Linked DNA regions of Tribolium castaneum. The protein of the gene in region 2 interacts with the protein of the main gene of each other region in a pairwise test. Links are inferred from orthologs where the notes say so. Each region holds a gene or a part of one and is shown on either strand. Other genes may lie near its edges.

Region 1 (3,836 bases), on a different chromosome or scaffold from region 2:
ATTCTTCTTCTTCTTCTTCACAATTACGAGCATTACTGGGAACTTGGCAAACTTACCAATGGTCTTGAAATCGGTGTGGAAGCCGTCGACGGTGATTCGCGCGTCTCGGGCGGTCCGCCGGAAGGTGACTTCGTGCCAGGAGCCGTCGTCGATCCTCCGTCTGGAGCCGCGCTGCTTCGAGTGGCCCGAACCCAGGTCCAGGTGCACGTAAATGTGCCCGTTGTAGATTTCAATCGCGAATAAGTCCACTCGAGGAGGACGAACTCCGCCGTTGAACAGGATCAAGCCGTTCGCCTCGTTTGTGCGGAATTTGAACGAGATGTTGCCCGATTTTTTAGCGTTCCAAGGTGGCAATATCTAAGGAATCACAGTGAAGAAGAAAACTTTGGTTTTTAAAACACACTCATTTGGCACAAGGGTTGTAATAAGTATAGGAGATGAGTCTGCTAAAATTCTAATTTCTCTGTATCATCCTATCGTAATTCTCTGTTAATTTCTTTGTTTATTCAACTAGAAATATTTACTTTTGTTACTTTGTTAATTCATTTCTATCTATAAGTGCATATTTATGGTGCTATTCACTAACTTTTGTTACTATCCTCGTATTACTGTAAAAATTACAGCTGTTATTTAAATTCGTATTCTGCAATCTCTGTTACCTCCTGTTAACAACATTTGTAACATTCTCTGTTAAATAACAGCGACCAAAATTTCACCATAAACTAACTATGACAGTAACAGATCGTTAATTTTTGCAATGGTTTACCAAATTAACAAGAAATTGTATTAAAAATGTGAAAAGTGGATAAAACTGAAAACTTTAGAAGCATGTATACTACTCTATACACTTACATTTAAAAAAAATGTAGAAAAGGAATGTGGAATAATCCATAATATTGCAAAGATAATCTCTGGCAAAAACTTAAAAATTGCCAGAAACGCAAAATTTCTATAAATGAAATATTTAGCACTGTGTACTCTTTATTTTTGTTACATTATTTCGTGAATATAGAAGAAGATTTTTTAATTTGTGTTATTTATTTCAAATTACGTTTTTTGTCTTTCAATAATAATTGTCTCTCTTCCAAATTGAGTTTCTTTTTTTAGTTTTGCGTTAAGTTTTTTCCAGCACAGAATTGAAGAATTTGGATTCAGTTTAATTACCGACTCCGACATGAAATTCCATGATAGTTTTTAATATGTAATTAATATTTAATAATATTTAAGACAAAAATTGTTTTAAAAAAATGTGTTTTTTTTAATAAACAAGGATATTCTTGGCCCTTAACTGTACTTGTTTTTTACATTCGTCTTCTTTTCATTTCACATTTCAGTGAACTTTTTGCGAAACCAAGCAAGAATAAAATATTTAATCTGTTAAGCGGTTTAACAAAATATTCTCATTAGTTTTTCTAAAAACTAAATACATATTGCCAAATCAGCGAATGAACCTTACAATTGTATCTCCCTGTATATTTTTCATGTAGGCAGATACTTATAAAAAGCCTTAAATGACAAAATCTCAACAAAAATCACTGAATCGGACAAACTTCTTTGACTCAAACACAGCAACAATTAGTTAAAAAAATAATGTAAAAAATTTAAGGAAGTTATTACCTAATTGCTACTTTACAGATGTTTATTAAGTTATTGGTCCATACTGTTACCTCTTTAAATATTTTATTTTTTTAGTCCCTGTATATCTTTTTACTTTTTTTAATACCCTGTATGTCACAGTTTGTTGGTGACGACATATTCTTACACAATTATTGTTATGTCTTTTCATAACATGACATGTCATAAATAAAATCAGAATTTTACGATTTAAAAGTATAAAATTCGTTGGCTAGTACATGTTAATCGAGGTTAATGTGTGCTATTAGAATAGATTTCCACTGAGAAAAAGGGGTTAAATTTAGTAGTGGAATAAATTCACAGAAACGATTATTTTTAACTATTCATTAGATTTAACCAAAGTTGATAAAAGCGGCACTAAATTTTTAATATTTAGACTAATTTACAAGCACATTGTTTCGATTTTTTTTTTACTTTAGTAGGTCTGTTTAAGAAAATGATGTGATTCTGTATACGAGTATAATTATTTGACATCTTGTACCGATTTTAATTTTAATTTATTTTTATTGTCTTGCTACAAACTCTAGCAGAAGATGAAAAATAGTAAGTGTATTTTTTATCTCAAATGAGATGTTGAAAAAATGTACTCAAAAAAATCATCAATTTAATAATTTCTTGCATTAATTGAACAAAACGTTAACAATTCTTTATAAAACAAGCGAAATGAAAATAATTTTAATGTAATTTTTTATTATTGATGTGAAACATCATAAAGTGGTGCTCTAGTCACAAAAAATAATATTAATTTGGTGATATTTTGCTTCAATTTTGGTGGAGGCGCCGGGAAAAGTATCATTTGCTTTATTATATGCTAAGTTTTCCGTTTTCTAGTAATTTGCAACTATTAATAAAACAGAGCAAAACACGTAGAACTATTCTAAAAATGTTGCTATGCAGTGTCTTATTAAAGTCGCTAGTTTTTTTTTTCAATTTTTTATTAAGTCTAGCTATCAGTTTAAAAACACTTTTTGTAATTTTTTGCATCTTTTTAACCAAATAACCAATAGTAGACTATGGAGTACTGTCATTTCTGTCAAATCTTTAAATTAACTTTTTACTCATTATTTTGCATTTTTTGGTGCAAAATTGTGTCAAATGTAGAATTTGTCTTGATTTGTGTTTTATATTTCCGTAATTTTTCCTTTTTTCCATTATTTTGTCGGATCTGTCATTTTAACAGCACTACATTACATAGGTGACTTGATGAACACATTGTAATTTTATGTGATATCATCAATGATATCTCGTCTACGTTTTATTTTTAATCTATTTTTATGTGTTTTACTACAAATTGTAGTAAAAGTACATTTTGTTATTTTTTCTATTTATTTATCACCATTATTTATCGCCATATGAGAAAAATATAATTTTTGTATTTTTTATATCTTATTTCACAAACCAATAATTACTTTATTTCTTTCATAATAATCATTATTTATCTCACTCTTATATCCTTTCTTCCTGACTATTCAAATCTCCAGGTGATTCTTGCTGGACAAATCAGCTGTTAATTTGTACTTAACTGTATTTAAGAGGTAAGAAAAAAATTTGTAAATGGTATCGCTAGATGCCGGTCTTTTTGTAAGGCAGAAAACCAGTAAGGACGATTTTTTTAACAACCAACCCTAAGAGGGTTAAATTGGTTGTTACAGCTTGTAAGAAAATGCGTTATTTTTAAGTTATTTCCATGCAAATTAGAATTTGGGGTTTCGTTTAAAAATGAAGAAGCGCGTGTCTCAGAATTTTTAAAATATCACCCCTAAGAGGGTTAAAGAAGGGATGACAGTTTGTATAAAAATCTGTCATTGTTGTCGAAATTTCACCTCCAGGAGGGTTAAATATAGGATGAAATTTTGTTTGCAATTCTGTCATGTTTTAATAAATCCCAGATTATTATAAAACAGGCAACAGTAACTCGGGTGCGTATTGGGTCACGGTTTGATAGTTCATAATTAAATTATGTGTTCCAATTTCGATAACATACTGTAACAGGCAAAAACTGCATTGATTGTATTAATAATCCGAATTTCAATGGAATAATAGCGGTAAGATTTGCGCCAAGGGCGGAAATAGCGCCAATTGAAACTCACCAAGTGCGAATCCCGTGTGGTGAAGGTGATGGGGTCGTGGGACTCCCCTGCCGGACATTTGTAATCAAGTTGGCCCGCCACGGAGATGAGGTGGCTACCGGAACGACCCAA
Region 2 (3,767 bases):
AAGGTTAAACAAAATGTGAGCACAGAAATTTAGGGTGTTCAATATTTCAGTATTAATTTTTTTTTAATTTTTAAGATGATTCCGTTTTTTTTAATTGTTTATTACTACCTTTGTTCCAAAATAAGTGAAAATCGGATACATATTTTGGAAGAAAGGTAGTAATATTTATTTCTTAGTTGTTAATAACCGTCAATAACCAACTCTTGTTGGTTTTTTATTAATTAAAATTTTGTTTTAACTTACGTCTTAAGTGGAATATGATTTATGTTAGATTTAATGGTAAAATAGACTTGCTATTTATTTATTATCTCGATTTATTTTTGACTAATTACTATAGTATTAAAATTTTTGTAAGAAACGTATGCAATATTTTTGCTGCGACAAAAATTTTCTCTACTTTGTGTATTACTTAAATAAATACTTGCAAATGAACAGATTAATTTTAATGTCCCCGTATATTAAAAAAATAAAGCGGAAAAGTTAAAAGTATCGTTTGTTGACACCATAAATTTAGGTTTTCTGTGAACTTTTATTTATAATTCGACAGTCTTGCGAAGCAAAAGTCAGAATTTTTCCTTGAAAAGCCGTACGTTGTTGATACCTTTCGCAGTTTGAAAGTCTGTTGTAAATTTTCGCTGGATTTAGAATTGTGCCTGCTTTGCAAGTTTGTTGTCACTTATTCAAGTAAAAAATCAACTCAATTAACATCAATCTCGAAAACAAGGGGTGATTATATCACACTTTGAAATAATAAACCGATAAAATTGTGCAACACGCAACAACCATTTGTCTAGATTTTTCCACTTAGATACCTCTCTATTCAATAAATATTTATTTAATCTACCAACTAAAATATGTATATCGTATATAATTTAAATATTAGTTAACAATGATCCTATTTAATTTGATTCTAATAAGCAAGTACATATATTGTATCCTAACCGATTTTTGTTTCGTATTTATAGTCATCATGTGATCAAATGGTAAATTACATCGATGGTGATTACCCTAAGAATTTTGTCTTTTATACAGTGCTGCCACCAATAAAAAGTGTTTTGTGCCCAAACCGCGCTATGGATTCAGTCGCTTTGTTCACCGTCACCTTCCACATCCTTTTCACCAACCTCTCTAGTATTGCTATCCTCAGTCTCAATACTGCTGGTTGGAGTCGGCGTGTCCTCAATGCTCAGCAACGCCGACGAGTTGCTCTGAGTCACATTCGGACTCGTATCGTAACTGCTCCCCGACTTGGCCTCCTTCCCTGGACTATACTTCAACTCGGAACTATACGTGGTGCTCAAATAACTCGTCTTCTCTGGATATTTACTCCCAATGGTGTTGTATTTGGTGTCACTTGCGAAGATCGACTCCGAAGCCTCAAAGCTCGACTTGCTCGTCGAATAACTGTCGAAAAACGACTTGGTCTCCTTCATCCCCCCAATAGTATTGAACTTATCCCCGAAGCTCATCTCCCCCGGCGTGTAATTCAAGTACGCCCCCGTCAGGAAGGGGTTGGTGCTCGCGTAGGTCGTGGGGGCGAAGTTCACCCCGAACATGGAGCTCGCAGTGGTGCTGGTGCTGCTCAGGGTGGAGAAGCTGGGGGTGGTGGTGCCCAGGGTCACGTTGAGCCCCGCCGAGGAGGCCTGCATGGCGGGCGAGCTGGAGCGGGACACGCTCCCGCCCAGGATGGAGGGCGAGGCGCGGCTCAGACTGGAGACGGAGGGGGAGTTGCGGGGGCCGGGGGAGTTGACGGAGGTGGTCGAGGGGGAGTTGCGGAGCCCGGGGGAGCTGATGGTGACCGAGGGGGAGGTCCGCAGGATCATCGTCTGGGTGGATGGAGAGGCGCGGATGGCCGGCGAACTTACACGGCTGGGCAGGCAGTGTTTAACGGAGTCGGAACCCGATTGCGAATCGCTACTGCTGCTTGGCGAACCTGGAGAAGAGACTATCACCTGACGAGGCTTGAGGCCGGCCGCCGCTGCTGGTGGGCCGACTCGTGGAGAGAGCGGACGGTAAGGACCTTTGCTTGCTGATGATTGGCCCTGGAACGGAGGAATTATTTTCGGGAGGCGCCAAAGCTGCCAAGGAGGCAATTTTTCACCATCGTTATTGACATTATAAAGCTGGTTCGATTGAAAATCTGAATCGGTTATTTGTTATTTAACACATTCGTCGCAAAGTGTAATTTTGCGTTGTTGAACTTCTAAATAAATAATCATTATTCCTTTTATTTGACCAATTTCCGTATGATTTTTTATTTTGGCGATGAACTGGCCCAGCAGATTGCCAGATTTGACGGCAATAGAGTTTTTTCTTTGCGTCGTTTTGAATTACGTGACTACCGCAGCAAAATACAAATTTTGCAAGTCGTGAAAGCCAACATTAAAGAAGAAGTCGCCAATTTGGAGCAAAAATTCAAAATTATATAAATCGGGTTTTCTCTTAAGGCTATCAATTCTAGCGGCTGCTTTTTGGCCGATAACATTTTCTCGTCTTAATGGAAGAAATAAAAAAAAATACAATATGTGATTAATTGATTATAAATAATGATAATGAAATCCCAGTCGCTGCTACCGGAAGGCGAGATTTCCTCACATTTGTTTTAAGAGTTTTACTAATTAACGATTGACAATTTTAAATTAAAACAAATGTAACGTTATTTCTAAGAATCCTCGACAGAGCCAAAAGTATTTCATCTTCTCTCTAACACTCATTGTTAATGGTAAGTAATGTTTGAAGAACACCATTTTTTATTTAAGGATTTTTTTGAATTAAATAAAGCACTGATACTAAGTAGATACACATTTATAAAAATGTACATTATTGAATTTAATTTCATTTCATCCTCGATTTCATCTTAAGTTATGTTTTACGTTACTGGAAAATAAATAAGCAGTAATTGAGTAAAAAAGGATTTGTATTGGGATTCTTGCAGTACTATGGAGAAAATGTCTTTTAAAATGTTATTACATGTTTCCCGGTCTAAAACAATATTTTTTCTTCTCATGAAACCACTTCCTGCTTTGTCTTAGACTGATTACTGTAAATTTAGATTTTTTTTACATCTAAAAGGAACGATTGAGTAATTTTTTTTTAAGTACTAACGTTTCTTACATATGTATTTATATTTTATGTAAACTTTTACCAATATTAAATTTGTCAAAATGCTATGAATACAGTTAAATTAGTTAAAGAAACAGTTGTAGAGAATTAAATTTCTTAAAAAAATTAAAGATGTATCTTCAGCGCTTCAGGTACCAAAAAATCTGATATTCTACATCTTTTGTTGTATCTTTAATCGTATTCGCAGTGTTCTCAAAAATACAGATTGTTTTTTTTAAACGGGGCTACTTTGAATATTCTTTGGATATTTAAAGTGGTCCTAGAAGAAAAAATTTAAATTTTTATTTTACTGATGAAGTTTTAAAAATAGTAGCAGCTACCTCTTTTGGGGCACAAACAACTCCCCAATTTTTTTTAAATAGTTAGACTCTTCTCGTGATACCTCGAATAATAGGTATGTTTACTGGGAATTTATCTGTCTGCCCTCAGAGGTGTATTTTTTCCGAGGAGGGAAATTGATCTTAGTTTATAATTTTTTGCTTAACTAGATGTTACACGTATACTTGCTTAAAAAGCAATATAATAATAAAAAAATATGCTTATGGTGGTAATGCCAAGACCCACGTGTCAATAAAAAAGTTACAACAAAGTAAAATGTATTTAATTTAAAAACCTTTCCCGTTACGCTATTAAAAAACAACAAA

The links.
Region 1: the proteins of RhoGAP100F (region 2) and Nrx-1 interact in a two-hybrid assay, tested with the Drosophila melanogaster proteins (2 studies listed by BioGRID). The link is inferred for Tribolium castaneum from reciprocal best matches to the Drosophila melanogaster genes RhoGAP100F and Nrx-1.

The regions. Positions count from the first base shown.
Region 1 is NC_087396.1:20,895,382-20,899,217, forward strand, and holds part of Nrx-1 (neurexin 1), read right to left. Parts: coding exon 3,726-3,836; intron 358-3,725; coding exon 57-357; intron 1-56. UniProt on the Drosophila melanogaster protein: Neuronal cell adhesion protein involved in synapse formation, development of synaptic active zones, synaptic regulation and visual function. Plays a role in cell adhesion between the pre- and the postsynaptic cell.
Region 2 is NC_087395.1:21,942,640-21,946,406, forward strand, and holds part of RhoGAP100F (rho GTPase-activating protein 100F), read right to left. Parts: intron 2,043-3,767; coding exon 1,080-2,042; 3' UTR 1-1,079. UniProt on the Drosophila melanogaster protein: GTPase activator for the Rho-type GTPases by converting them to an inactive GDP-bound state. Promotes the anchoring of Liprin-alpha clusters at synapses. Recruits and keeps Nrx-1 levels high in active zones in the presynapse opposite the postsynaptic region.